Canis lupus familiaris: one gene and its partners. The protein of the gene in region 6 interacts with the protein of the main gene of each other region in a pairwise test. Links are inferred from orthologs where the notes say so. Each region holds a gene or a part of one and is shown on either strand. Other genes may lie near its edges.

What was found.
Region 1: the proteins of NUTM1 (region 6) and P4HA3 interact in binary tests that used the Homo sapiens proteins (3 or more experiments, as listed by UniProt). The two-hybrid records come from large-scale screens. The link is inferred for Canis lupus familiaris from reciprocal best matches to the Homo sapiens genes NUTM1 and P4HA3.
Region 2: the proteins of NUTM1 (region 6) and RIC8A interact in binary tests that used the Homo sapiens proteins (3 or more experiments, as listed by UniProt). The link is inferred for Canis lupus familiaris from reciprocal best matches to the Homo sapiens genes NUTM1 and RIC8A.
Region 3: the proteins of NUTM1 (region 6) and SAMD4A interact in binary tests that used the Homo sapiens proteins (3 or more experiments, as listed by UniProt). The two-hybrid records come from large-scale screens. The link is inferred for Canis lupus familiaris from reciprocal best matches to the Homo sapiens genes NUTM1 and SAMD4A.
Region 4: the proteins of NUTM1 (region 6) and FAM161A interact in binary tests that used the Homo sapiens proteins (3 or more experiments, as listed by UniProt). The two-hybrid records come from large-scale screens. The link is inferred for Canis lupus familiaris from reciprocal best matches to the Homo sapiens genes NUTM1 and FAM161A.
Region 5: the proteins of NUTM1 (region 6) and ZMYND10 interact in binary tests that used the Homo sapiens proteins (3 or more experiments, as listed by UniProt). The two-hybrid records come from large-scale screens. The link is inferred for Canis lupus familiaris from reciprocal best matches to the Homo sapiens genes NUTM1 and ZMYND10.
Region 7: the proteins of NUTM1 (region 6) and SH2D4A interact in binary tests that used the Homo sapiens proteins (3 or more experiments, as listed by UniProt). The two-hybrid records come from large-scale screens. The link is inferred for Canis lupus familiaris from reciprocal best matches to the Homo sapiens genes NUTM1 and SH2D4A.

What each region holds. Positions count from the first base shown.
Region 1 is NC_049242.1:24,127,079-24,130,578, reverse strand, and holds part of P4HA3 (prolyl 4-hydroxylase subunit alpha-3), read right to left. Parts: coding exon 3,494-3,500; intron 904-3,493; coding exon 740-903; intron 480-739; coding exon 303-479; intron 1-302. UniProt on the Homo sapiens protein: Catalyzes the post-translational formation of 4-hydroxyproline in -Xaa-Pro-Gly- sequences in collagens and other proteins.
Region 2 is NC_049239.1:25,713,967-25,718,013, reverse strand, and holds the start of RIC8A (synembryn-A), read right to left. Parts: upstream 2,801-4,047; 5' UTR 2,691-2,800; coding exon 2,607-2,690; intron 2,395-2,606; coding exon 2,347-2,394; intron 2,262-2,346; coding exon 1,674-2,261; intron 1,232-1,673; coding exon 1,140-1,231; intron 618-1,139; coding exon 467-617; intron 1-466. Other genes in the region: BET1L (BET1-like protein), read left to right, coding at 3,972-3,990.
Region 3 is NC_049229.1:30,959,994-30,963,493, reverse strand, and holds part of SAMD4A (protein Smaug homolog 1), read right to left. Parts: intron 2,002-3,500; coding exon 1,668-2,001; intron 1-1,667. UniProt on the Homo sapiens protein: Acts as a translational repressor of SRE-containing messengers.
Region 4 is NC_049231.1:63,114,868-63,118,367, forward strand, and holds part of FAM161A (protein FAM161A), read right to left. Parts: intron 2,849-3,500; coding exon 1,682-2,848; intron 1,323-1,681; coding exon 1,155-1,322; intron 1-1,154. UniProt on the Homo sapiens protein: Involved in ciliogenesis.
Region 5 is NC_049241.1:39,416,503-39,420,523, reverse strand, and holds the start of ZMYND10 (zinc finger MYND domain-containing protein 10), read right to left. Parts: upstream 2,801-4,021; 5' UTR 2,658-2,800; coding exon 2,566-2,657; intron 2,304-2,565; coding exon 2,195-2,303; intron 1,269-2,194; coding exon 1,152-1,268; intron 1,032-1,151; coding exon 978-1,031; intron 858-977; coding exon 723-857; intron 617-722; coding exon 528-616; intron 436-527; coding exon 335-435; intron 8-334; coding exon 1-7. Other genes in the region: GATOR complex protein NPRL2, read right to left, coding at 3,879-3,946. UniProt on the Homo sapiens protein: Plays a role in axonemal structure organization and motility. Involved in axonemal pre-assembly of inner and outer dynein arms (IDA and ODA, respectively) for proper axoneme building for cilia motility.
Region 6 is NC_049251.1:1,030,957-1,034,456, forward strand, and holds part of NUTM1 (NUT family member 1), read right to left. Parts: intron 3,080-3,500; coding exon 2,389-3,079; intron 364-2,388; coding exon 235-363; intron 1-234. UniProt on the Homo sapiens protein: Plays a role in the regulation of proliferation. Regulates TERT expression by modulating SP1 binding to TERT promoter binding sites.
Region 7 is NC_049237.1:22,874,002-22,878,224, reverse strand, and holds the start of SH2D4A (SH2 domain-containing protein 4A), read right to left. Parts: upstream 2,801-4,223; 5' UTR 2,473-2,800; intron 2,463-2,472; exon of another isoform or gene 2,309-2,462; intron 2,168-2,308; coding exon of another isoform or gene 1,461-2,167; intron 1-1,460. Other genes in the region: collagen alpha-2(I) chain-like, read left to right, coding at 1,461-2,167. UniProt on the Homo sapiens protein: Inhibits estrogen-induced cell proliferation by competing with PLCG for binding to ESR1, blocking the effect of estrogen on PLCG and repressing estrogen-induced proliferation. May play a role in T-cell development and function.

The DNA of each region.
Region 1 (3,500 bases), on a different chromosome or scaffold from region 6:
CTTGCTGAATTTTAACAAGTGCACACAGCAGTGTACTCCATGTCCCTAACAAGATATGGAGAGCACATTTTCAACACCCCAGAAAAATGCCTTTGTCGCCTTCCCCAGCGAATCCCCTCCTTCCAGAAGCAACGACTACTGTGATTTTTTTCACCATTTATTTGTTTGATGGAACAGTTGGCATTTTGAATTCCTGGCCTGCTAAAGTGTGTAGTTGTTCAGGCTGCCTGTTCTCACATTCCTGAACCCCAGGCATGTGATGACACAAACAGAAGTTCTTGGCAGGCTTTAGGGACACTCACCCACGGTTCTGCAAGCCCTCTAATTTTCTGAGCCTCCACGTCATTGACAAAGTCATGGTAGAGAACAACATAGGGTTCCAGGTGGATGACCTCCTTCCGGACGGGCTGGAGCAGCAGGTAGGGGCTTGAATTTGTCTCATAGGAGCAGTAAAGGCTAGGGATCTGGTAGTGAGTAGGCTGGAAGGAAAGCCTAGAATCAGCATAAGAGGTGAATGGTCGAGCAGAAGCCAATGTAGGGAATTACGGCACAAAAAAAAAAAAACAAAAAACTGGCATGCAGGAGATTCAGAATGTGGTCACTCTGATACTATCCAAATAAGCTGTTTTGTTTTGTTTTTTTTTTCTAATGCATCAGCCTTTCCCCCCTCACATCATTCCAATTCTACCTTCTGTTTCTCTAGCTTGTTCCCCCTTTCTCTTTCCCTGAGGAATCCTACCTGGGATCCCAGAGTCTGACATAACCCCTCATAGGTGTCTCTGGTCTGCAGGTGGGGTACGTTGGGCCTCTGGATGACAGCCTCAGCTACCACCTGATTGGGGCTTTCAGCCAAAAGCTTTTCATATTTCAACACATTTCTGGCCATCCTCTTATTATCTGGACCTAGAAGAAATCAGAGCAGGGATAATACAGATTAACAAGCAATGGTTTCAGGGAGGGCTGCCAAGGTTTCCTAAAGCTTCCCTGTCACACATGACCAGCAACTGGACACCCTGAAAAGCTCCTGTGTCCATGCACCGGAGGATATAAGGCCCTCACTCTCAGAAAAGCACCTGGTATTAAAAAAAGATTGAGTTAGGCCCAGTAGATCTGAGGGTACAAAGGACTTTGGGAAGGAAAGTGGTATTTAACACTATTAGAACAGGGATCATGGGGATCCCTGGGTGGCTCAATGATTTAGCACTTGCCTTTGGCCTAGGGTGTGATCCTGAAGTCCCAGGATCAACCTCTGCCTATGCCTCTGCCTCTCTCTCTCTCTGTGTGTCTCTCATGAATAAAGAAATAAATAAAATCTTAAAAAAACAAAACAAAACAAAACAAACAAACAAGGGATCGTAACGATGGCAGTAGGAAAGTATGATGGTAAGTTTTACATAATGGGAAAAAAGCTTTACTCATTCCTTCCTTCATTCATTCACTCATTCATTTACCCATTCAAAAAATCTTCAGTGAACATCTACCATGTACTGGATACTGTGCTAGAGGCTAATCTCTCAGAGTCTAGAGCCTAATAGAGAAAAGCGACATTAAATAACTACTCACAATGAAACCCAAAAATGCCATGAAAAAGAAAAGCAGGCAGACCCAATCTATTCTTCCCTGGAGCAGTGAAAGCTAATCCATTCCCAAATCTAATAGAGCCTTCAAAATTCCTAACTGGCCTACATACAGAACAGAGCAGTATGAGACAAATTGGTTCTAGATTTTGTTTCTAGCTTGGGTTCCCATAGGGGTCTGATGTCTTATTTGTGCCCACCAACTGGTGCCCACTTTGGCTGTTGGACGCCCATGGGCTGGCAGCTACCCATGGCCTGCTAGTCTCTGTGCATGATTTTCAGTGCCTCTCAGGACGTGCTGAATTGTTCTAATGCTCCCAATGCATCTTTCTCTAAGAAGCTCAGTGTGCTTCTAACTACCACCACGACCACTCTGGCGAAAGATAGGACATAAGTTACCCTTTTTTTTTTAACAAGAGGAGAAATGAAGTTTGGGAGAATGGAAATGATGAGCCCAAAACCCCAGTGAAAAGACTGCAAAGCCAGAAATATAACTGGTAATCTCAATTTGCTGTGTCCTACTTCTCCACCTAGAACTGCATAGTTTGAGTTCTCTGGGATGGGCAGATTTTAACAGAGCAAGCATAAAAAATAAAGAAGAGTTGGGTTATCATTTTGCCCGGAGTAATTGCCCGCATGTTTCCAGACCATATAGCTACTTCTGTATGCTGCTTGCCCAACTATCAGAATGGAATAATGTTATTAAATAGATTCATTAAAAAAGCAATCAGATGTAGTGAAACGACAGGACACCTGCACCCCAATGTTCATAGCAGCAATGTCCACAATAGCCAAACTGTGAAAGGAGCCATGATATCCTTTGACAGATGAATGGATAAAGAAGATGTGGTATATATATACACAAAGGAATATTACTTAGCCATCAAAAAGGACAAATACCCACCACTTGCTTCGCCGTGGATGGGACTGGAGGGTATTATGCTGAGTGAAATAAGTCAATCAGAGAAGGGCAATCATCATATGGTTATACTCATATATGGAATATGAGAAATAGAAGAACCATAATGGAAAGGAGGGAAACTGGGTGGGGAAAAATTAGAGAGGAAGACAAACCATGAGAAACTCCTGACTCTGGGAAACAAACAAACGGTTGCAGAAGAGGAGGAGGGTGGGTGGGGGGATGGGGTAACTGGGTGATGGGCATTAAGGCGGGCACTTGGGATGAGCACTGGGTTGTTATACTATATGTTGGCAAATTGAATTTAAATTTTAAAAAAGCAAGCAATACATACAATTATAAAGTCATGTGAAATACTTTATAAATATTAAAATATAATAGTGATTATTTATTTACTTTAGTATCTCAATATCTTATTAAAGGAAAATCTGGGAAGCCAGCTTCCACCAAAATTTTAAGTAAAAATATCCAAGTAAAGAGCTAAGCTTGGAAGTCTCCCTCCCATTGAATTCTGGTGACGCACTGTGTGAGGAGGGTCGAAGCTCAACCCTGCATTCACTGAGCAGGATGCTTGATAGCCAAGTGAGCTCTGGTTTAAAGGGAAGAACTGGTATCTCTGTAGAAACAGCCAAAATAAGTATACCTGTGGAGTCACTCTTCTTGCACACACAGCTCTCATCTACTTTATTCACTTCCAGTCCTGGATTTGTTCCCCCCGAGACAGCACTAATGTATATCCAGCTGGTCGTGGAAGAGGAAAGGGACAGGCTGATACCTTCTTGGCATCATCCCACAAACCAAAACACTTCCCCCGATACACTGATACATAGATAAGTAAGATTCAATCCAAAAGTTAGAAATGCGGCTTGGATTATAAAATTAGAAGAAAAAAAAAAAAAAAAACATAGCTGTCTTATCCCTGCAGAGATTAAAGGCCAGGAGCAGAAGGGATTTCCCAGTAAGTCAAAGCTGTGGCTCATCTTCTGTCATTACGTACTATAGAG
Region 2 (4,047 bases), on a different chromosome or scaffold from region 6:
GAGGGGCTGGTTGGAGGTCTAGCTGGCCAACGTCCTGTGTGCAGGCATGGGAACCAGGCAGCCTCTGGCTCGAGGTGGTGGTGGGTTCCCCAAGGGATGCCAAGAGACAAGTGTCACTCGTCCCGAGGGCTGCCTGCACACAGCAATGCTAGTGCTCTGACGGCACAGGCAAGGATTCTAGAGACAGCCACAAACAGCTCTAAGACACAAACTCCGCTGTTGACTCTGAAAACCCGTCAAGATAACCAGCACAGGTAAAACCTTCAAGTGTGTGCGTGTGAGAGGGGCCACGTGTTTCTGAGGGAGGTAGAATCTGGTTTTCTGCCAAACTGGACCACGAAGCAGCTGGAGAAATGGCCTGAATCACACTCTGCTTACCAGTGTGACCGTAAAAAAAGCAGTGATCAAGGCTGCTTGGGAAAGTCAGAGCCACTGAGGACCCCACAGGTCAGGTCCCTCTGCCCACCTGGTGCAGACGCTTCTCCAGGAAGCTGAGAAGGACGTGAATCACATCCATGTTCGCTCCCAGGAACTCCAGGGAGCCTTTGTGTGGCTCCAGGGTAAGGAGGACGTCCAGACACTTGAGGGGCAAGTTCCCCAGGAGATTCACTGTGTGGCTGAGGACAGATCAGGAGGAGGGCTTGATAGGTCCGACCCCCCAGCATAAGTACAAGCCTTGCTGCCCCCTAAAGAGGCCGCATGTGACTTGAACTAGCATCTAGGGATTTGATGACCAGAACCAGGGGCCGGTACTGAGGGTGAGACTGACCCTAGAGATGTTCCCACATAGTCGGTGGGGTGAGTTCCTAAGAAAGGGGGCACGCTCCGTCTGGGTTGAAGCCCCGCGGACAATCTCTGGAGCGCCAGAACCTGCCCAGGCACAAGTCGCCGAAACAGAACTCAGCAGTTACTCGCTAACTACCACGTGGTTGGTTACTACTAACTCCACTGCAGACACAGATACCGTTCTTGGATTCGTTTCTCTTGTCCTAGCCCCTTACCATAGACACACACTGATGGAAATCCCACCCCTGTAGGTGAAGCCTCTCCAGGGGGAAGCCTAGCCGACAGCCAGGGTGAGAACTACTGTCTAGACCCCTGAGCACACTTCCCTTCCATTGAACGGGCCCCACCCTCACCCGTGGAACTCCTCTGTGCGGTCTCCAGCAGCAGCGACCATCACACAGTGCCGCAGAATGGTCCCCAGGTGCCGATAAAGGGCCGCATCTTCCTGACCAAAAAGAAAGGGGTTCCTGTGAGAGGAGGCCCCACTCTGGGATCACATGCACGGACTATGCATTTTCTCTACTGTGTGCCCAACCCCTCGTCCTCCCCCACGTAGCCTTGAAAGCATTTCCTTAACCAAGACCATTACCAGGTCTTCCTGGGATAAAAATCACAACCTACTCTAGTGTCCTGCTCGTGACCTCTCCATGTACCAAACAGCCCTCCTACCAGGCTGCAAGTGCCAGGTATGCCCTCTGCCTTTCTCAGACAGTCTCTGAAGGCCCCTGTACATGATGTACAGCTCCCTGCCTCCTCCCAATAGGCTGAGAGCTCTTCCCGTCCTCTCCCCGTCTGATACCTGGAACCTACGAGTTCGCTATAGGCAAACAGAGCCAGCAAGTGTCCACACCGTTAAGCCCTACCTGTGGGCTCAAGTCAGTCCTCACCTCGTCTACCTCCCTCTTGATGGAGTCGAAGGTGATATTGAAGAGCACTTTGAGGATCTCCATGGCCCGCTCGGTCTCCTGGGGAGGAAGAAGCTCCGGGGGGTTCTCGTCAGGGCTCATTCCCAGGGTCAGCTCCAGCGCATCAGTCAGCAGGTGCACTCCCCGCAATTCCTGAAACAGCTGCTGCCTAACGTCAGTGCGAAGTGCCGTGAGCAAGAAGAGGAGGCGCAGATCAAAGAACTGGATGTCGTGTGGAAAGCTACTCTTGCGATACAGCCCCACGCGCTCTGCGAGCCTCACCACCAGGCGGGCCTCTGCTGCCAGCACCTGTGCCACCGGGCTGCTCAGCACGAGGTTGCACAGGCACTTCAGGGACTCGAGGACAACGTCCATGTCCAGAGGCTCCGGGCCAGACCCCTCCAAGGCGATGCCGGCATAGCAGGCAAGGGCCTGCAGGCTCTGGCGGCTGGTGAAAGGGTCCAGGCAGCTTCGGTCCCTGGACAGGATGCGGATGCTCTGCAGCCAGGTGACGCGGCGGGGGGGTGGCAAGCCCTGCTCCAGGACCGAGACCAGCAGCTCCGCCAGCCTCTGTGGGCGGGAAGAAGAGCGGCTCCAGCAGGCCCCCTACCCCGGGGCCACGCGCCCCCGCCCCCTGCCCTCGGTCCGCACCCACCTTCCGGTCCTCCTGCTGGGCGTCGTCAAACGTGAAGCTCTGGGAGTTCTGCAGAGACGGGGAGGCTCAGCGGGCTCGGCCGCCGCGGGCGCCCGCACCCCCCCCGCCTCTCCCCGTCCCCCAAGGTGCGCGCAGACCCCGGCCCCTCCGCCGCGCGCCGCCCGCCGCCCGCCGCCCGCAGCCCGCAGGCCCGGGTCCGCACACGCGAGCCCCGCCCGGCCCACCTCTTCCGTGCAAGCACGTTCACGGCTCGCGCTCACCTCCCGGTTGTACGTGCGCAGAGCCTCCATGATCACGTCCTCCTCGCCCGCTTCCACGGCATCCGCAACCACCCGGGGATCCATGGCGCCTCCGGGATCCCGCGCCGAGCCGGCGGGAAGGGGAGCTGCTTCCCGGCTCCGGGCGGAGTTCCGCCGCTCCGCCCCGACTGGGCGCGCGGGGCAGGCCGGGACTGGGAGCGCGCGGGGCGGGGCGGGGCGGGGCGGGGCCAGGGCTGCGCGCGGGGCAGGCCGGGACTGGGAGCGCGCGGGGCGGGGCCAGGGCTGCGCGCGCGGCATGCCGGGACTGGGAGCGCGCGCCGCGGGGCGGGGCCAGGGCTGTAGGTTCATTAAGGGGGCGAGACCTGGATCAGCTGGCTGGGACTTGAGTGTTTTGCCGGGGAGTGAGCGCGAGTTTCAAAGGTCCTACTAGGTGATTTTTCGACCTCGGAGCTGAGCGGCCTCCGAAGCTAACGGGGACCCACTCACCTTCCCACGCACGCCCCCCTAGATGCCTAGCACCAGTGCAAGTCCGGGGGAAAAGCGAAGTGGGAAGGACTTTGCGGCCCCGGGACCCGCCGACCGCTGGTTCCCGGCCCTCTGGGAGCGTGAGCTCGCACGTGAGGGCAAGGAGCCACGGGCAGCGGTCTCAGCGCTGTGGCGAATAAAGTGGGCTGCAAAGGGATGTGCGGAAGTAGCATTTCTGCTGAGGCCGGACGATAAGAAGGGATCCGGGGGAAGGTCGTTCGGTGGCCGCGGCGGGGACGCAAACATGTCCCTGAGCTCCAGGGGAGGGCGGGGAGGGTCAGGATCACCGGCAGCCACGTCCCAGGTGTGTGGCCTGGACTGAGCTCCCTCTCCCGTGTGTGTGGTCGCAGCGGTGCCCGCCGTGCAGCCAGCCTTTGTGGGCCGCCTCCGTTCCCGCGGCGCCGGGACCAAGGCAAGAGGCACCGGCCGCTACGGCCTCTGCTGCCCCCACACTCCCGGCCCCCGTCTGGCTTCGCTTCCCTTCGGAGTGCGTCACCCTTGCGTCTTCCAGGCCCTGGCCTCCACCGCGTCCCCTCGGCAACGCCTGGGGCGGGGACCCGCGGCGACCCCAGCAGCCAGGCCCGCGGGGGAAAGCGGGGACGCCCGGAGCGGGACCCGGCCCCGCCCTCCGCGCCATTGGCCGCTGGCGGCGTCTGTCACGCGTCCTCGGCACTTAAGGCCCGCCCCCCTAGTCCGGAAGTCGGCCGGACGTCGGCCGGAAGTCGGCGGGCAGAGCGGAAGCGGCGGGGTCCCGGTCCTCCCCGGTTGCGCCACGTCCGCTGAGGCGGTGGCTGGGCCGCTGGCGGGGCGGGGCCGGGGACGGGGCCGGGGGCGGGCGCCATGGCGGACTGGGCGCGGGGTGAGCGGCGGGTTGGGGTCGGGGGGCCGCGGCTGCTCCGCCCGGGGCCTCCGGCGG
Region 3 (3,500 bases), on a different chromosome or scaffold from region 6:
GAGCCCTGTTAAATTATGCCTTATGCATACAGTGGAACAGTATGCAACCTTGAAAAAAGAATCCGGGGGCGCCTGGGAGGCTCAGTCAGTTAAGCATCTGCCTTCGGCTCAGGTCATGATCTCAGGGTCCTGGGATCAAGTCCTGCGGCAGGCTCCCTGCTCAGCAGTCAGCTTCTCCTTCTCCCTCTGCCCCTCCCCCTGCTCATGTGTTCTCTCTCAAATAAATGAATAAATAAAATCTTAAAAAGAATCAGTATGATATTGATAGAAATATTAAAAATATATAATGTAGAAAAACAAGGTGCATAAAGACATGTAAACAACACCTGTTTGTGTGTAAAAAGGACACTCGTGCTTGTATATGAATATTATAAAGTTTCTGAAGGGAGAAGCCAAGCCTGTTTAGAACACGCACCTCATGGGAGGAAGATGGCAGGGCCTGGGGGACCGGTTATTCTTCACTTTCCATCATTTTGTTTAGTTTTGATTTTATGCTGAACATGAATTTATTGTGTAATTAATTTGAAAGTAGCTCAAGTTTAAAAAGAAGCCATGCCAAAGGAGTTTGGATCCTCTGAGGACAGAACCCGCCATGGATTATACTCAGGTTTCCACCTCCTACATGTAGCTTTACCCATGAGGTCATCTGTTCTAATCCCACCAGCAAAGAACCCACTCAGAGGTAGGAGGTCAGGAGGTTAAGAGGGCTCAGAGGTGAGTTGGGGGAGACCAGGGACTCACCCTGGCCATCAAGCTGACTGGCCTCTCAGCTCAAAGGGATGCTACAAGTTGTCTCCTCTGAATCAGATTTCTATGGATCTAAGTCTTTTTTAGGACATGTATACACAGGGAGTTTCTCACTGCACCTGTAAGACTCAGGTGTCCATTTCTTTTGGTAAGAACTTGATTCTTTAAAATGATTGGGCAATAAAGAAAAAATTGTTTCTCCTTCCCAAAGGAGAAGTAGCTGGTATTCACTACATTTTAAAAATAATCACACTTTCTTATGAAACATTCAAGTACAAATTATTCTAGTATTGGACTTTTCAAGGACTATAATCAGGGCAACCCGGGTGTGATCCTGGAGACCCAGGATCGAGTCCCACATTGGGCTCCCCGCAGGGAGCCTGCTTCTCTCTCTGCCTCTCTCTGTGTCTCATGAATGAATGAATAAAATCTTAAAAAAAAAAAAAAAAGGACTATAATCACATAATCACTGTGCCATGCACAGGGGAGGCACAGGGCAGTCCAGGTAGAAAGAGTGCTCTTACCCAAAGGACCACATGAGAATTCTGTCCTGCTTTCCAGACAGGCACAGGGCATGGCCGTGGTGCCTTCCAGGCCTGGTCTGTAGTAAGGGCTGACTTCTGCCTGCAGGCCCAAAGGCCCAATGAGCACTCACTCTACTAGGAGGGCCCAGCAAGCCCTGGTCTGAAGGAGTGGAAGAGAAAGGAGACAGGGTTGAGGAAGAGGCCTTTAGGGGCCAGAGGGATCAGAGTTCAGATCCAAATGATGACCTCTGAGCCTCACTCCGATCATCTGTAAATGGGCTAATGACATCAACCCTGACAGGTTGATCCAGCATCCGGGGAGCCCCTCAGGAACCAGGAGCTCTGGTTAGTGGTGTAGAGTGAAGAAAAGGGGGAGGCGTGAGAATCAGGCTCTACCTTTCCCCATGACTCGTGTGAACTGCCCGGGTAGATCCCCCTCCGGCAGGGGGGCGACAGCCATCTCCCCATCACAGCTACTCAGCTGGTGTGGCTGCAGCCCACCACTGGCCCCAGCGGAGGTGTTGGCCGTGGCACTGCTGGCCGAGGCACTGTCTTTGCAGTCGGGGCTCTGGCCCTCAGGGCCCATCAGTGAGGGTGGGTGTGGAGCCTGGGGCTCCCGGCGGCGAGCTTCGGGGGTGGTACTTGGGGAGCTGTAGGCCTTGATAGGAGTCAGGATCATCTGGTGCAGTTCCTGGAGTGGTATGCGCAGGTTACCCCCCTCGATGATGTCCTGGATGGTCAGAGGGAGAAGACCTCTGTTAGCATCAGCAATGGGGGTGGCCTCCCCCTTGATGCCTCCCCTCCCCCGCCCCGAGTGGTTCCCAGACAGGACTCCCAGCTGCTGGCCCCTTCATCACAACATTCTTTGGAAATGCAATCACCTTAGTTTTATCATTCTATTAGACCAGGTAGAAAACTTGGAAAATACAAATAGGCACAATGAGGAAAATGTACATCACCTGAAAATCCCACCATCTAGAGGTGATCACTAAAATGATTTTCAGATAAAGGGCTAGTTTCCAAGATCTATAAAGAACTTCTTAAACTCAACACCAAAGAAACAAACAATCCAATCATGAAATGGGCAAAAGACATGAACAGAAATCTCACAGAGGAAGACATAGACATGGCCAACATGCATATGAGAAAATGCTCTGCATCACTTGCCATCAGGGAAATACAAATCAATGAGATCCCACCTCACACCAGTGAGAATGGGGCAAATTAACAAGGCAGGAAACCACAAATGTTGGAGAGGATGCGGAGAAAAGGGAACCCTCTTACACTGTTGGTGGGAATGTGAACTGGTGCAGCCACTCTGGAAAACTGTGTGGAGGTTCCTCAAAGAGTTAAAAATAGATCTGCCCTACGACCCAGCAATTGCACTGTTGGGGATTTACCCCAAAGATACAGATGCAATGAAACGCCAGGACACCTGCACCCAATGTTTATAGCAGCAATGGCCACAATAGCCAAACTGTGGAAGGAGCCTCGGTGTCCATCGAAAGATGAATGGATAAAGAAGATGTGGTCTATGTATACAATGGAATATTACTCAGCCATTAGAAATGACAAATACCCACCATTTGCTTCAACGTGGATGGAACTGGAGGGTATTATGCTGATTGAAGTAAGTCAATTGGAGAAGGACAAACATTATATGGTCTCATTCATTTGGGGAATATAAATAATAGTGAAAGGGAATATAAGGGAAGGGAGAAGAAATGTGTGGGAAATATCAGAAAGGGAGACAGAACTTAAAGACTCCTAACTCTGGGAAACGAACTAGGGGTGGTAGAAGGGGAGGAGGCCGGGGGGGTGGGGGTGAATGGGTAACGGGCACTGAGGGGGGCACTTGACGGGATGAGCACTGGGTATTATTCTGTATGTTGGCATATTGAACACCAATAAAAAATAAATTTATTAAAAAAATAAAAATAAAATGATTTTTTCACATTTCCATCCCTGGCTTCTTCAGTGAGTTTCTATAAAAAAAAAAAAACATTTGGATAGTGTACATGCATACCCCTAAGAAGCTGTATAATAAAGTTGGGTCATATGTAAGTTTCTGTCCTGTGTAGGATTTATTTGTTTTGGATGAAGGAACCTGCTCATTCACACCACCCACCCATTTGGGGTAGTGGTGAAGAATACAGACTTAAGGACAGATGCTGGGGTTCAAATTCAGACACTGCTGTATGACCTTGGGCAAATGACTTAACCTCTCTG
Region 4 (3,500 bases), on a different chromosome or scaffold from region 6:
AAAATAACATGTAAAACATACTAACTCTACCAAGATAATAAGATTACATGGATTAGAGAAAAGAATTGTACTACAGAATGATACTTATGATTAATTTATACACAAAATTGGTATTAGGAAAAATCCAGTTTACTTTCTTGGGGTGGATAGTATTTTTCTAAAAAATTCTGCTCAAGTTTATCAAATTAAGTTCCCTGTATTATTGAATTACACTGATATACATTACATGGAATATAAACATAATATACATTATAAAGAAATATAATTGCTATATTAAAAAGGAATACCAATAATAAGTAAAAACCAATATATAGATTGGGGGGTACTTATAAATCAGATTAAAAATTAATAAATCATATTACTTATCCAGCTTTGGGGGAGATATTTTCCTACTTAAACATGAACATTTTTTACATAAAAATGTTCCTCTGGAACACTGGTTTTCAAACTTTGTATTGCAGAATTCCAGTGTTCTGTGAAGGGGTTCTGCAAATATTTTTATTTATTTATATTTTATTATATCAAAACTCCAAGAATTGCAACACACACCACTAAACACACACGTGTTAACTGACATATCACATAACTGATGTTAATTAACATCAATGTGTTAATTTGTGATCTCAAATTTCATGCACCTTAGAACAAAGCTCTTCAACAGACCTATTGAACAATATTCTGAGATTACACAGCAAGCTATTAAACGAGAGCTTTATCTGTAGGAGTCAAGATTTTTCAGTGTTAACTATACTGGAATTAAAATACAAAACTTAAAAAGAAGATTTTTCTCAATATCGTTACAGTGCAACCAAAAGTAGCATAAGGAAGGGATGCCCGGCTGGCGCAATCAGTAGAGCATAGGACACTTGGTCTCAGATCATGTCACGTTTGGCCCCACAATGGGCATGGAGTCTACTTAAAAATAATAGTATAGAGTAAAAAAAAGGTTAGATACTGACATAAGATTACAACTATTAACTATGGCCACGATATAAAACATTTCTGCTCAGCAACATGGTTTTAGGGTCCTCACCATGAGGTGAGGTGAGTGAGTTTGAGTGTGTGTGTGTGTGTGTGTGTGTGTGCACATTGAGTGTAAGTAATTGATAGCAACTTGAATCCAGAAACTAAACTACTAAATTCTTTTAGGATACCTGAGAGATTTGACTCTGGATTTAGACATCTGAGCTAAACTTTGATGGGAGTCATAAGCTTTAGCCCGGATTGTCAGGAGTTTCTGCAATTCTTTCATTCTTTGCTTCTGCTTAGTTAGGATCCGATTTCTCTCTTCTTCCAACATTTTCTTTTCCTCAAGTGATCTCCTGAGGGCAACAAACTAAGGCTTAATTCACTTTAAGCCAGTAAGAATGTTGTTCAGCAAAGATTTAACACAGGAAAATTCAAGCGTTGAAACTAAAGGCAACCTTTTGAGAAGGCTTTGACTTGTGAAATTGGAAATCAACAGGCTGACTAACCTTTTCTATCCCAAAGATTGGAAATGGAAAATATACTCATTTCTTAGAAGTACATCCTCTGGCAAAATGCTCTATATTATCTACCAAAAATATGTTGCCAAATATAATTTCTTCATATTTTCAAATTGACTGACATAAAATCAATATGGCTACAAACACTGTTTTAGCAACCATGGGTCAGCTAGTGCTATATTCTAGTCGTTTACCTTGTGGCTTGTTCTCTCCCTCTGGAAGACACTGTGGGCATTGGAGGGGGGCAGTTACAAGGCACAGGCTTTGCACTTGCACTTCTTCCTGGTGACTTGTTTCTTGGAGACAGAAAAGACCGTGTTTCTTTTGAATGTTCCTCATCTGCTGCAATGTCTGCCAAAATTTTCTCTCTTTTAGTGGATGCAGTGGAGGCTGCGTGAAGATTGGGTGGTTTATGGGAGGTTGGGAGTTTTGAACACTTCTGTTCTGAGAGGTGTTTCTGGTATCCCTCAGGAAGCTTTTCAAAATCAGCAATCTGGCATCTAAACTTGTGTGTACACTTCAGTCTTTCAGGCTGCTCAGGACGCTTGAGCTTCCTTGGAGCACAACTTTTGTGACCTGACCTAGAAGGTAAAGGGGATGGATTCTGCAAGAGCTCTTGGGCTTTCAGCTGTGTCATAATGTCTCTATAGAGCTCCTCTTCTTTTAACTTCTCTTTGGTAGCTGAGCCATAAGTAGATCGAGGCACAGGTCTGGCCTTAAATCGATTTGTTTTCTTTTTAGACTTAAACAAGTCTCTCAGCTTCTTTTCCCGGATTGCTTGCTTCTGTTCCTCTCTTGCAATGAACTTAAATGGCTTTTGTGAGGCCAGAAGAGCTTCTTTGTTCTTTTCCTTCAAACGCTTTCTGCGGTCTTCATTTTGCTTGACTAGGTCATGATAAAGGGGGAAAAAGACAAATGCAGGAACTGGAGTGGCTCGGAATTTTTTCTTACACTCTGATTCTTCTTCTTGTTTTTTGAGCAGTTGGTGTACCATTTCAATATCTGATTTTGATTTCATGTTCTCTTCTTTCTTCCTCTGTTCCCTAATCATCATCTGAAAAGGCTCAGGAACCGTAATCTTTGGCACCCATTCTCTTGGTTTCTTCTTTGTTTTTTCAACGGCTGGGAAGTAAGCATCTTCACACCGAATATAATCTTCAACAGAAAAGTTTGTCCACATGTTGTTGATGAGCTCTTTTGCGTAGCTCATCACTACCCTCTTTTTCTCAGGATACTCTTTTTCTAAGTTGGGCAACTCATCTTCAGAGGAAGACATAATCAAGGAGGAAGACGGCCCTAAATCAGGCTCTGAAGATGTCATTAATGAGATAGGGTGATAAGAGTTCTTTTCTGATTCAGACCTAAATAAGAATAATAATTAAGTTACACTCTCAGTTGCATGTGACCAAATATAAAAATTAAGAACTATAAGATCAAGGTATTATCAGTCAGAAGGCAGGAGCTGGATACATAAAGCTTATAATTATCAACTTTTATTTAGAATAGAGGTAAGAGATCCTCTAATTTAACTCCCTCATTTTACAGGGGAACTGAGACAGCAGTGGCTCCTTGTGGCTAATGTCTATTAAATCCTCCACATATTTCTCAGAGTCACCATCTTAAAACATACATCTAGTCATGTCATTCCCCTTCTTGAAACTCTTCTATGATTTGCCATTGTAACAGAGTCAAGTCTAGATCATAAAGCCCCTTCAAGACTAGCCTCTGGCCACCTTTCCTGTTTCACCTCTAGCCTCTTTCGCCCTCCAGTTACTAATCTTAAGTCATATCCAATCACATGAAGCTCCTCACATATACCATGATCTCTCATACTACCATGCCTCTGCACATGTGGTTTCTGTTGCCTAGAAGCCCACTCCTTGCTTCCTGCATCTGTACAGCTACTCCTCCTTTAATACTGAACTTGGATATGACAGTTCTATAGAAAATTCCTGCCTGTGTCCCTCTACCAACACCATGACATGATCAATTGCTGCTTCTTCTGTCTCCATA
Region 5 (4,021 bases), on a different chromosome or scaffold from region 6:
ATCTTGCCTGGAGAGAGGAGCCAGAACACTAGGAGCAGGTGTTACACACTCTGAGTCAGCCAACTGAATGGGCTGGGGTCCTGAGTGCTGCCCGGGTGCACGACTCACCAAGGCTGGTGTCTGCTTGCTCCAGAGCGGGGTGAGTCTTTAGCAGTGGACACACAGGCCTTACCTGCTGCAAAGCCCAGGTCTAAGCTAGTTTGTGTGAGGCATTCTGGGCTCCTCTATGAGCTAGCGGGCAGTTTGTGAGCAAGCTGCCTGTCCCCATCAATCCTGGGGTATGTCTGGGAAGCCATGAGCTGGGGCTTAGGCAAGGGGGTGGGGAAGACCTTACCACCTTCCTGTCGGCTCCAGGGACTGTGTTCCAGCAGTTCCACCAGGAGGCAGGGCAAGTTGTGGGTACTGAGCATGCAGTTCAAGGTGCTCAAGGAAAGGCTAGGGGTGGTGGTGGAGAGAAGTGAGCGGCGGCTACAGGCCCAGGATCCCAGTCCTCCACTGCAGGTCTTGGGCCTTGCAGGACTGCCCACCTGTCCACACAGTCTGTGATGTAGCGCAGCACTGAGAGGGCCTTCAATGCGATCTCAAACTCCATCAGCTCTGCTTGCTTCTGCAGCTCCTGGGTGGCAGGGGCACATGGTGCTCTAGCTGGGCCACCCCCTGCCTGCTCAGGCCTTGAGAGAGCGTGTTATACCCACTGGCACCTCCAGGGACCCTCAGCCTACCTGAATGGGGGTGCTCTCCTGAGACTCCTCCTCGGGAGGGCTGCCACGGCCACTTCGGGCCACCAACATAGTCAGTTTTCGGTGGCAGTAGTCTACCAGGTCCAAGACAGCGTCCTCTGCTGACTCACACACCTCCTGAGGGACAGGCAGAGGGGAACATTCTGTCTCTGATGCTCTCCCCACACAGACACAACCCCTCTTCCCAGTCAGGCCTTAGCCTGTGGCAACAGCTTGTGGACAGGGCTGATGCCTCACTTTATGGAAGAACACTGTCTCCAGAAGGTTGATGATAGAGGCCTCGTGGTGTACCTGTCAGATAAAGAGAACAGAGCGTGGAGCCACTGAAGGAAGAATCAGATTACCAGCTCTCTTGTCAAATCCAGAGCCCTCTAAAGGCATGAGCAGGGTGTGACCAGGGGCCCAGCTTACCACCATGTATATGGGAAAAGTGTTCTGGGGCTTGAAGTCCTCCAGCTTGCACAGCACAGGGAACACCTTCTGCTTCCACATCTCCACTGCAATCAGCTCCTCCACCAGTGTTGGGATCTTTGAGGGGGAGAGGAAAGGACAGAGATGAAGTAGGCCTACCTTGGCCTTGCCACCCTCCCATCCCTGGCTTGGTCCTGCCTGACTCCTCAAACTCCCCTAGGCTCCTAGATTCTCTCCATAGGTACCTTCCCAAGCTCTCTCCTGCACCTTAGACCTTCATTTCTAGCTGCTCTCAATAACTTTGTGGGGACATTCCCCATGCTTCCTATAACTGGCTCTTGCTTTGTCCCTGGGCTGCCTTGGCCCCCTACACCTCCCCACCCCAACTACACCCTTGTCCCCTCTGTCCTCATCCAGGTGTTCCTCTCAGGCTGGCTCTCCTGTTCATGCCCTCCTTGTCCCTGTCCTCCTGCCTTCCAAGGTTCTCATGTGCCTTGACCTCACCCTTACTCAGGGCCCTGCACAATTTCCTAGTCCTCTCCCACCCTCCAGTAGGGGGCTCCACCTTTTCTTTGCAGAGGAACCCTTTTGTCAAGTGATATCTCAGGTCATTTATTTGAGTCACCTCCTGGCTCATTTTCCAGGTAGGCTCATCCCTGGTTTCTAATTCTTCTCTCAAGTTATGAAGGCTGCCTTCTTCCATGCCAAAGTTCCACCTCCACTTCAGTGAGGGCCCCCTCTGGCCTGACAGTCTATTCAAGGATGTCTTTAGAACGTAGGCTCTCCCCCTACAGCCTGGGCTGCTGTATGATCTACGACTATCTCTCAAATCAACCAACGTCTCACACTTGGCCTAGTGTGCCAGTGTCCTGTCCAAAAGGGATGCAAAATCAAATCTGTAACACACTCCTCTCTTTTCTCTTGGGGAAGACAAGAGTACCATCTAGAGGGAAGTGAAGGCATCCGAGGTGCTCCTGAGAGGTAGAGTGGTGGGGTGAGAGGTGGTAGGAAGGGCAGGAACCCTGCCCGTGACCCCAGCATACCTTCCCATGGGTGACCAGCAGCTCCTGGATGGGCTCACCCTGGCTGGCTGTAGCATCAAGGATAGCCTGCATGTTCAGCTTCTCCAGGTTCTCATGCTGCTGGTTCCACCTGCCCCAGAGAGAGGGGGTGGATGTGTTTTGGGGTGCTACTGAAGCCTAACCTGGGTTTGGGTACTATTGAATTTGGGTATTACTGAACCTAATCAGCCTAACCTGATCCTGAGGGGCCAGAGGGGGCTCAGAGATCTTTGTCTCCTCACTTGGGGATTCCTCCACACTGGGTACCCTCTCCCCCGTGTCAGGCCCATACTCCTCCATTCAAGGACTCTGACTCTGTGACACCGCCCGACCCTTGGATCCAGCTGCCTCACCCTCCGGAGCCCATCTCGCGCAGCGGGAAGCTGCGCAGCCCCCGCACCAGCACGTCAGCCTCCCCCGGCAGCAGCAGCTCCAGGTCGCCCATGTTGTGGCCAGGGCCAGGGAGCCAGAAGGCGGGATTCAGTTGACCCCGGACAGCAGCCGGCGCTGGGGCAGGGGAGCCGAAAGTCTCCGGCTGGGTCCAGGCTGTGGACGCAGCTGTTGCGGAGCGGTTGGGGCGCGTGGGTCCTCGCCGTCATGGAAACGGTTAGCTCGGCGCCTGCGCAGTGCGGCCCGCGCAGGCTCCGGCCCCGCCCCCGGCCCCGGCCGCCTCGCCTTCCCCGCGGCGGGTAAGGAAGCCCCTTGGATCCCAAACTTCTCCCTCACCTCCGACTGCGGCTCGAGGGTCTGCCCTGAGCGACAGACTCCTGTGGCCTAAGCTCCCTCCTCCGACGTCAAGACCAGCTCAGGGACAGGGTCATGCTGCCCCCACCAGCTCTTCCTGTCGCGGCTCCAACTCCGCCGCGCGGATGCCCCTCTCCGTGGCTTTCTCGCTCCACTACGTCTGGCGCCGGGCTCCGCCTGCTGGCTCTACCCCCCCAGGTACTGCGTAGGGGCCACGTCTTTCCATCCCAGTCTAACAGGCTGCCACCACCTCTCGTGAGGAACTAACTGCTGTAATCTTTTTCTGGGTGACTGTATGGCTGCCTCCAGTTCTTGAAATAGTATGTCCAAACCAGCTTACCAGCATCTCTGCAGTATCACTTTTGCCCCTTCGGTACTTCATTTCTTGCCCCTCTCCCCATTGCCTCTTATGTTCCAGCCTTGTGGGCCTCTCTGGAGTTCCTCATACATCCTAAAGCTGTTTTTGCTTTGGGGCTTTTGCACCTGTTACCCCAACCTGGAATACTCTTCCTCCATCAAGCCTCAGTTCAAGTCACCTCAGGGAGGCCTTCCTTGCTTATTTAATCCAGAACAGCTTCAGCTCCCACCCCACCCCATTCTTGATCACAGCTACCTGATTGTTCCTTTCTGGCTGTTTATTTCAGTTCCTAATTAGTGGACACATTTGTCCATAGTTAGTCCTGCCACCAGATGGCGCAGCAGTGGGCCAGGACCACCGCTATTTCACTGCCAGTTCTCAGGTGGCTGGTTCAGAGGCGATACTCAATAAAGGTAGGTTGAAACAGATGCTTTTATTTACAGAACTGAGGGTCACCCCTGAGACAATACGGACTAGTCTACGGGTCTAGCCCTCATGCACCAGACAGCGCTTTGCAGGACGAAAGCAGCCACAGTCGTGTGCCTAGTTTAGCCCCCACCAGCCTCACTTCCAGCAGATGATGATATTGGGGTCATTTTCCAGCCGTTCATCAAGCTCGTGGTAGCTCATGCCTGTTTGGGACAGTGCAGGTGAGATGAGCAGTCTTGCCTTGGCCACCTGCCCTGACCCCACCCCAGCTGCAATGT
Region 6 (3,500 bases):
CCCATTCTTGGAGCTTCAGTATCAAGGACCTGTATGATTCAGGATCTGAAGGAGGGGGAGCTCCCAAGGGAGGACAGGAAAACCCGAGGGTCAAGGTGGTGGAAGCCGTGAAAATCCAGGAGGCCCCACCTTAGTCTACACCAGTCCTCCTGGCACCCCTTTTAATAATCACCCATGCCCCTGTCCCTCAGCCTCCCAGCACCCCTCAGGAGAATGGGGGTTGCTCAGACTCACTTTTCTGCCATCTCATAAAAGATCATCCGGTCAAAGTTGCTGGTGTGCTCCCACTCCTGCACAGCCCTTGGCAGTCCCTCCTCCAGGGTCATAGAAGGCTTCAGCCGGGCCAGGGAGCGAAGCACAGGGCTAAAACCCCCATCAGGTCAGTCACGTTCCACAGTGGACCCCCAATCCACCCGTCCTCACAAACACCTCAACATACCCCACTGTCCCTCAGTAGATCTAAGTTGCCTCCCGATCCTTGTCACGCTCCACGGCTTGTTGGACCTCCAGACCCCCAACCTCCCATCCATCCATCGACCACACTGGACTTTCTTCCTGCTGAAATCTTCAAATCTCACTCAAGATCAGATGACTGAGTCTGCCCACGCCACCCCCAAAGTTTGAAATCAAGCACCCCAGTCCTCACAGTGCCACTCTTGACTAAACATTAGGAAGAATGCACTTGTTAAAGCACTTATTATAATAATATAATATAATAATATAATAAGCGTTAAAGCACTTATTAAAGCAGTGGATTCACGGTAAAGTAGGCTTAACCCTGCCCAAAGGCTCTTACTTTCAAAAAAAAAAAAAAAAAAAAAGGCACTCCCTGACCCAAATGAATGTCTAATGAAAGGATGAAAGGCTGTGTGGTGTTTTTATTTATTGGTGTTTAAGTGTCTTCTTGCCTCTGGGATGCCCTTCACACACAGTCCACTGTCAATACTCCTCAAGCTCTTCGTGATTCATCTTTGCCCTTCTGACCTGCCTGCATCCTCAAGCACATGCCTGGAATCACCTGCTGGAGCATGTTTTAATTAGGAATTCCAGGGCCCCAGGATCTCTGCACGGCGAATTCAACCAGCTTCCCAGGCGACTGTTGCCAAGAATCTGGATCGTACTCTGGAGGAGACCCTACCTGGGGCCCCTGAGTACGGAGGGCATGGAGAGGCCAGGAGGGAGAAATGCAGCCTGCCGGGCTCCACGAGAACCCAGAACCCATCTGGAGAAAGCAGGGAGTGGAAGGTGGTCTACACCCAAGACTCTGGGGGAGCCTTTAGAGGTATTCACTGCAGAGTTGGGGGAGGGGGAGACTCCTCTAGGAGCCCAGAGGCTGAGGAACAGTACACCTGTCTCTCCAGCCCAGTAAAACCTGGTATGTGTTACACAGTGGTCGACATAGGATGCCGGGAGCACCGTGCAGGTGGGGGAGGCAGCAGGTCTGGGTGGGAAGAAGAGAAGCTTCCCCAGACAGCTGGCTAGTTACTCGGCCTTATGAACAACACAGGCAGCCCCTGACCCCGAGGTCCCTTGCTAGGCATCCACTCACAGGCAGCCCTGCCATTTGGGAATTCTTCCCCTTGTCTACATTGCCCGTTTATAACAACAGTACTGATGATAGTAGCTGCCACTCCACGAGGCCCTGTCTGTGCCAGGCGCGCTGCTACAAGTGTCACAGATACTGACTCATTCCATCATCTCAGCAACCCTCTGAGGTAGGTACAACCAGCCCCTTTCCATATGAGAAAACTGGGCTCAGGCCTCAGTGTGGGGCGCTCAGGATCAGCAGTCCCACAAGCAGCGGAGGCTAGGCCAGGGTCCCTAGGCTCCTCTACCACCTGCCTGGAATACCAACTGGAATTCTGAATAAGCTAGGGGGACAGTGGGGGCCAGGGGCAGCACGCCCTGTGCCCAGCCCCACAGCAGCCTCCACTCTCCAGGAAGGGTCAGGGCCCAACACCCATCCTGCTGGTTTGGATGGCTCAGTGTGAGGTCAGACAGTAATAAAATAGATGGGAAGGCCCCCAGATGAGGTGCCAGAGACCTGAGCTCCACTTACGGTTCCTCAGCTTAAAGATAGGAAACCTCTGAGCTCCAGTTTTCTCCTCTACAAATGAGGATTATGTTAAAACGCTTGCCCGCCTGAACTCAGGGCTGTGAGGCTCACTGGAGAGAAGACACCTGCAAGCTTATATAGCCTGGGAAGTGGGTAAACAGGCGCAGCAGCAGCAGCAGCAGCAGCACCTTTATGCTTTCCTGCTCACAGAGTATCTCTAGCACCCTCCTGACCTGCCCTCAAGGACCCCTAAATCACACAATCCCTGCTCCACCCCAAAGCACTCCTTGTTGGGAGTGCTAGCACAATTAACCTCAAATCTCCCCACTTACATAAGAAAGCAGGAAAGGGCTTCTGCATCAGGTCTGTGAGATAGGTGCCTCCGCACCAAGGCTTTGTAGCGCTGCCAGCGACGGAAGTTCTCATAAACACCTTTGGAGGTATAGGAGAGGTCACCCAGTGACGGCTTGGCTTGGGCGGCCGAAGGACCTCCTTCTCTGGTTGCCCCGTGTGGTCCTGGCCAAGCCTGTTCTGGGCGCACGACGGAGGCCAGTTGGGCAGCTGGTGTTGGAGCCTGAGCAGGAAGGCCTGGGAGGCCCTCCGGGCTCACCCCAATGGTTTTGGTGGGCAGAAGGGTCTTCACGTTAGGGGCTGTCACGAATTGACAGGAAGGACCCTCAGGGGGGGCCATCTCAGCGATCCAACTGAGGGCTGGCTGAGTGAGGATGAAACTCTGAGTTTGAGAGGGCTCCACCGGCCCCCCTTCCGTCTTGACTTTGACAACGACTCCAGCCCCAGTGGGCCCAGGGCCCCCATCCCCTGTCACCAACAATGGGCTAGGGAGAGCAGAGAGCACCAGAGGGTTCCCTGCAGAGAATGCTGGAGGCAGGGGGGGCTGTGGAGGCGGCTCCCAGGGGGACTGGTCTGGTGGGCCAGGAGCAGACTGGGGGAAGGGGAGTGCACTGAAAGAACACAGGGCAGCACCGGGTTTCAGGGTCACATCCTGTCCCGGCAGTGGAGGTGCTGTTGAGATGAGAAGAAAAAGAGGGAATGGAGGAGGAGCAGAGGATGCCAGAGGGTGGGTCGTTGGAATCCCACTTAGTCCCTGCACTCAGAGCGCCCGCCCCCAACAGGTGAGGGAAGGGTGTGCTGGGGGACCCTGCAGCGCTGGCAACAGTCCTCTGAAAGGGATGTTGACGTCCCTTACTCCTGGGTGAGAGTGCTTGCCCTAGAGAAGTTGTGCGACCCTTGGGCGCTTGGGCTCACACTCCCTACACACGGCACCCAGCACACAAGTGCTGGGACCCGTCCCGCCCACTCCAAACACGTTCAAACCACCTTAGCCCCGCGCCTGACGGCTCTGAGGTCCCCGCCACGGCTCACACAGGCACTGTTTCCTGGACAGAGTGGGTGGATTAGAAGTTTGGTTTCCAGAAATTTTGTC
Region 7 (4,223 bases), on a different chromosome or scaffold from region 6:
CACAGAACACCTAGCAAGGACCCCAGCATGAGCTTCTGAAGAGCTGTGTGCCCTTCAGCTGTCATTTCACTACTTTGTTTTCCCATTCGTGAAATGAGGAACTGCACCATACATCTTTGTAATGTGAAGACTATGTCATAGTCTATGTGAAGTTACAGACACAAGTGGAGGTAGGGTAGAGGAAACAGGAATGAGGAAACTAACCAGGGTTTTTCCCACTTTCAGTCCCTGAAAGGACAACCACTGACACTGATTCAAACTTTGAATGACTTTCCTCATCTAACACACTTGAGAGCAGCAAACTTCCAGTTATTCAAGATCCAATAAAAAGAAAAGCTAAGCTAACTCAGTTTTCTTCTCATATAGCACTTTACTTAAAAAAGGAAATGACAAGCAACAAGCCCAAATCTGCTATTTATTCCAAAACTAAATTTCTAAAGGGTGATAGGATCAGTTGTTTTCCAGGATAACATACATTTGGCCTGACTCTCACATCATCCATAGCCCTGTTCGACAAAATAAAAATTGTGTTTCTCATGATTCTAAGACCTTGGGGGGGGGGGGCAGGTAGATAAAGCCTAAATTATAGCAGTAATGTAATATGGACAGTAAAACTTTAATGGTAAGAATATAATTTAGAGCACCTGTGTGGTTCAGTCAGTTAAACATCCCATTCTTGGTTTGGCTCAAGTCAGGATCTCAGGGTAGTGGGATTGAGTCCTGCCTTTGGCTTGGCACTGACCATGGAGTCTGTCCCTGTCCCCCCTTTCCTCCCCCTACTGCCTCTCTCGCTCTCAAATAAATAAATAAATAATAAATAAATACAATCTTTTAAGAAAATGAATATAGTTTGAATATAGTTTGAATTGTACTTCTTTTAAAATGGCTGGCTATTTTCAGATTTTCATTTATCTTATTCAACTTCACTTAATAGAGTTTATCTGCAAAAGGGCTATTTTTTTTCTAAAGATTTTATTTGTTTATTCATGAGAGACAGAGACAGAGAGAGAGACACGTAGGCAGAGGGAGAAGCAGGCTTCCTGTGGGGAGCCGGATGAGGGACTCATTGGGGATCAGGACCTAAGTCCAAGGCCGACTCAACCACTGAGCCACCCAGGTGCCCCAAAAGGGCTATTTTTGAGGATAAAATGATTTACCAGAGGTGATAGCAATTTGGTAAGTTTTGTACATATGTGCCATTCTTCAGAAATGTGAAACGACTGTACAGATTTATCTAGGAAATTGCACTCATGGGCCAAATCTACGCCTGCATAGGACTTCCACGTGTTTATTCACTTTCTAAAGCTCCAAGTCGTTAGTATTCCGTCCGCAATCCGAAGCCTCTCAGGCGGGGGCCTGGCTGGCTCTGCGGGTAGGGCATGCGCAATCTTGATTTCCCTGTTCTGAGTTCAGGCGGGTGCTCGTGTTTACTTAAACAAACAAACAAAAAACCCTTTTAGGAGGTGAGGAGACTAAGATTAGAGAGAGGTGCCCTTGCTCCTGCGCCCTGCGCCCTGGGAAGGGAACGATACCGTTAAGGAAGCCTATAAACTGGCACCTGCGCGCGCGGCTCTCGGTGCCCCCGCGAACCCGAGGGCCAGAGCGGGCAGGGGCGGGCAGGGCGCCCACCCGACTGGGAGGACCGAGGCTGGGCTGCCGTCCTGCGGGCGGGCCCCGGGGAGCCGGCTGCCCCGCGGTCCCGGAAGGTCTGGGCGGCGGAGTTCCGCGCGGGCGCGGGCGCGGGCGCTCGTCGGCGGGGGCGGGAGCGCGGTGCCGGGCCGCGGAGGAGGCCCGGACCCACGGCAGGCACAGGCCCCGCGGGTGCTCCGGCGCTCCCGGCTCGCCCACCCCCGCCGGCCGCCTGGGCTTGGTGACGCGCCCGCGCCCCTCCCGGTGCCCCAGAAGTGCTCGCCTTCCCCCTGGGGCCGGCGCCTCCCGCGCCCCCACCCGCACGGTCCCGCGTTCTGCCCCCTGGCCCCGCCGCCCCCCGCACCTACCGGGCGGGGCCCGCGCTCCCCAGCAGGTGGCCCCGGGCCACGCGGCGTCCAGCGGGGCCGAGACGGAGGGAAGGCGGCTCAAACCCTCGGCCTCGCTTGTGCAAACAGTGTCCCTGCGCGCCCGCCCGCCCGCGCTGCCCCACCCGCGGCCCGCGTGCCCCAGCGGCTGACTGGGTGCTCGCGGCCCCACCCGGGCCCCTGGACGCGCTCCAGGCCCAGGCGTCGGCGCGGCCTGCTGCCCCAGGGGACCCCCCAGCCCGGGCACCCGGCCCCGAGCTGCCGCGTGTGGGGGCCAGGCCGCCGCCCCCCACCTGCAGCCCGCCGAGGCCGCCGCGCCCTCTCGGCCGCGGGACGCAGTGGTGTCAGCGGCCCGGGCCTGCTCCGCCGCGGGGCTCAAGGGCTCCTGCAAGCCCGGGCCTGCGGAGGCGGGAGGCCTCGGTCACACGGACAGCCCCAGCAGGCCGAGTCAGCTCACCTCCCGGGTCGCCTCCCGACTCCCGGAGCTTACTCTACCCGCCCCGCCCCCGTTTGTTGACATTAAAGTCATTTATCAGACACTCGGGCACTTGTCAGCACAGGCCACAAAGCTTTGTAGGGCAGAATCAAGGAGGCGAAAGGCTGGAAAGATGCAGGCTGCAAACAACAGACACGGAGGGAAAAATGAAAGAACTCTGGAGAAAGGAAAGAAGGTAAAGGAATCTTGTGAATAGCAGCAAGAACAGGTTGGGGTGGTGCCGGAAGGGAGGAGCTGACGGAGTACAGGAAAGTTGGGCAGAAGCGAGTAGAAACGTTGCAGGGCGTTTTCCATTGTGCAGGAGCGTTGGGAATGTGCGCGGAGAAATAGCCTGCTCTGGGGAACCCCACCCTGCGCATGGTGGGGAGGAGTCAAGAACACTGAGCCTTCTCTAGTCCTCTCCACAGCCCACCTGATACATTCAGGGGTCTGATTGGCTTCCTTCAAAAGTGAAACTTTCTTCTTCCTAACTTCTCTAGACCTCAGAAGTTACTCAAAGTTAGAAAGAGCCTTGGGGGCAGAGAGAAGTCCTTGAGAACCTATTTAGGAACCATTCTAGGGATCGCATCAGGGGAGAATTTCTGGTTTACTTTTGGTTCCCACTGCTTATTAAATGAATGGCCTGTGACTGCATTTGGCTGGATTGTCTCTTGCCCCTGGGTAGCGGCTGTGGCCAGCTGAAAATGAATCCTCCCATTTCATGGATCCAGCAGTTGAAGAACTAACAGGTGGTTCATCAGTCAGTAAAATTTTCCTACAACGGACACTGGTTGCAGCGGATGACCTTCCCCGACGCTCAAGTTCATGTGCTGATAAGTCTTTCTTTATAAGAGTACTCCCACTTGGCCACTAACCTGTCTGTACTTCGGTTTTCCCTTCTGGATAATAACAACGCCTACCTCATGAAGTTGTTGTGAAGGTTAAATGAGATGATATATGTAATGTGCTTAGAATAGTTCGTGGACTGGTGAATGTACAAATACATTAGCTTATACTATTTCACATCACATACTGCAGTTTCAAGTTATAACTTCATACTCAGACCTTGGATTTTGCCTTGTGTGGTACCTAGACTCCATGTTAACCTCAGTGATCCATCCCCACCTCCTCAGTATGTCACTTCTGAGATTAGGTTGTAAAAGACGTGAGCACATGCCTGGCTGGGCATCCAGCACTGGTCTTTGAGGCACGACTGTGAGAACACCAGCCTCAAATTTGTAGTGCACTTTCTGGCCCACCAGCAGCCTGGGTGACTGCTAAGTGTTCTCCATGCAAGCAGTGGGCAGAGCCGCTAACCCTGTGAACAAGATGGGAGATGCTGAAGCAGGCAAGAAGATCTTTATTTAAAAATGTGGGGGCACCTGGGTGGCTCAGTCGGTTAAATGTGCGCCTTCCACTCAGTGGTGATCAGGGTTCTGGGATCCAGCCACACATGGAGCTCCCTGCTCAGTGAGGAGTCTGCTTCTCTCTCTCTCTCTGCCTGCCGCTCCCTCTGCTTGTGCTCTCTCTCTCAAATAAATAAATAAAATCTTCTTTTTTTTTTTTTTTTTTAAATGTACTCAGTGCCACACAGTGGAAAAAAGTGGAAAACACAAGACTGGTCCAAATCCCTGGGCCTTTTGAGATGAAAAACAGGACAAGCACTAGGATTTTCTTATTCCAGTGCTATCAAAAACAAAGGGGTTATCTGTGGAGAGGAAACTCTGATGGAA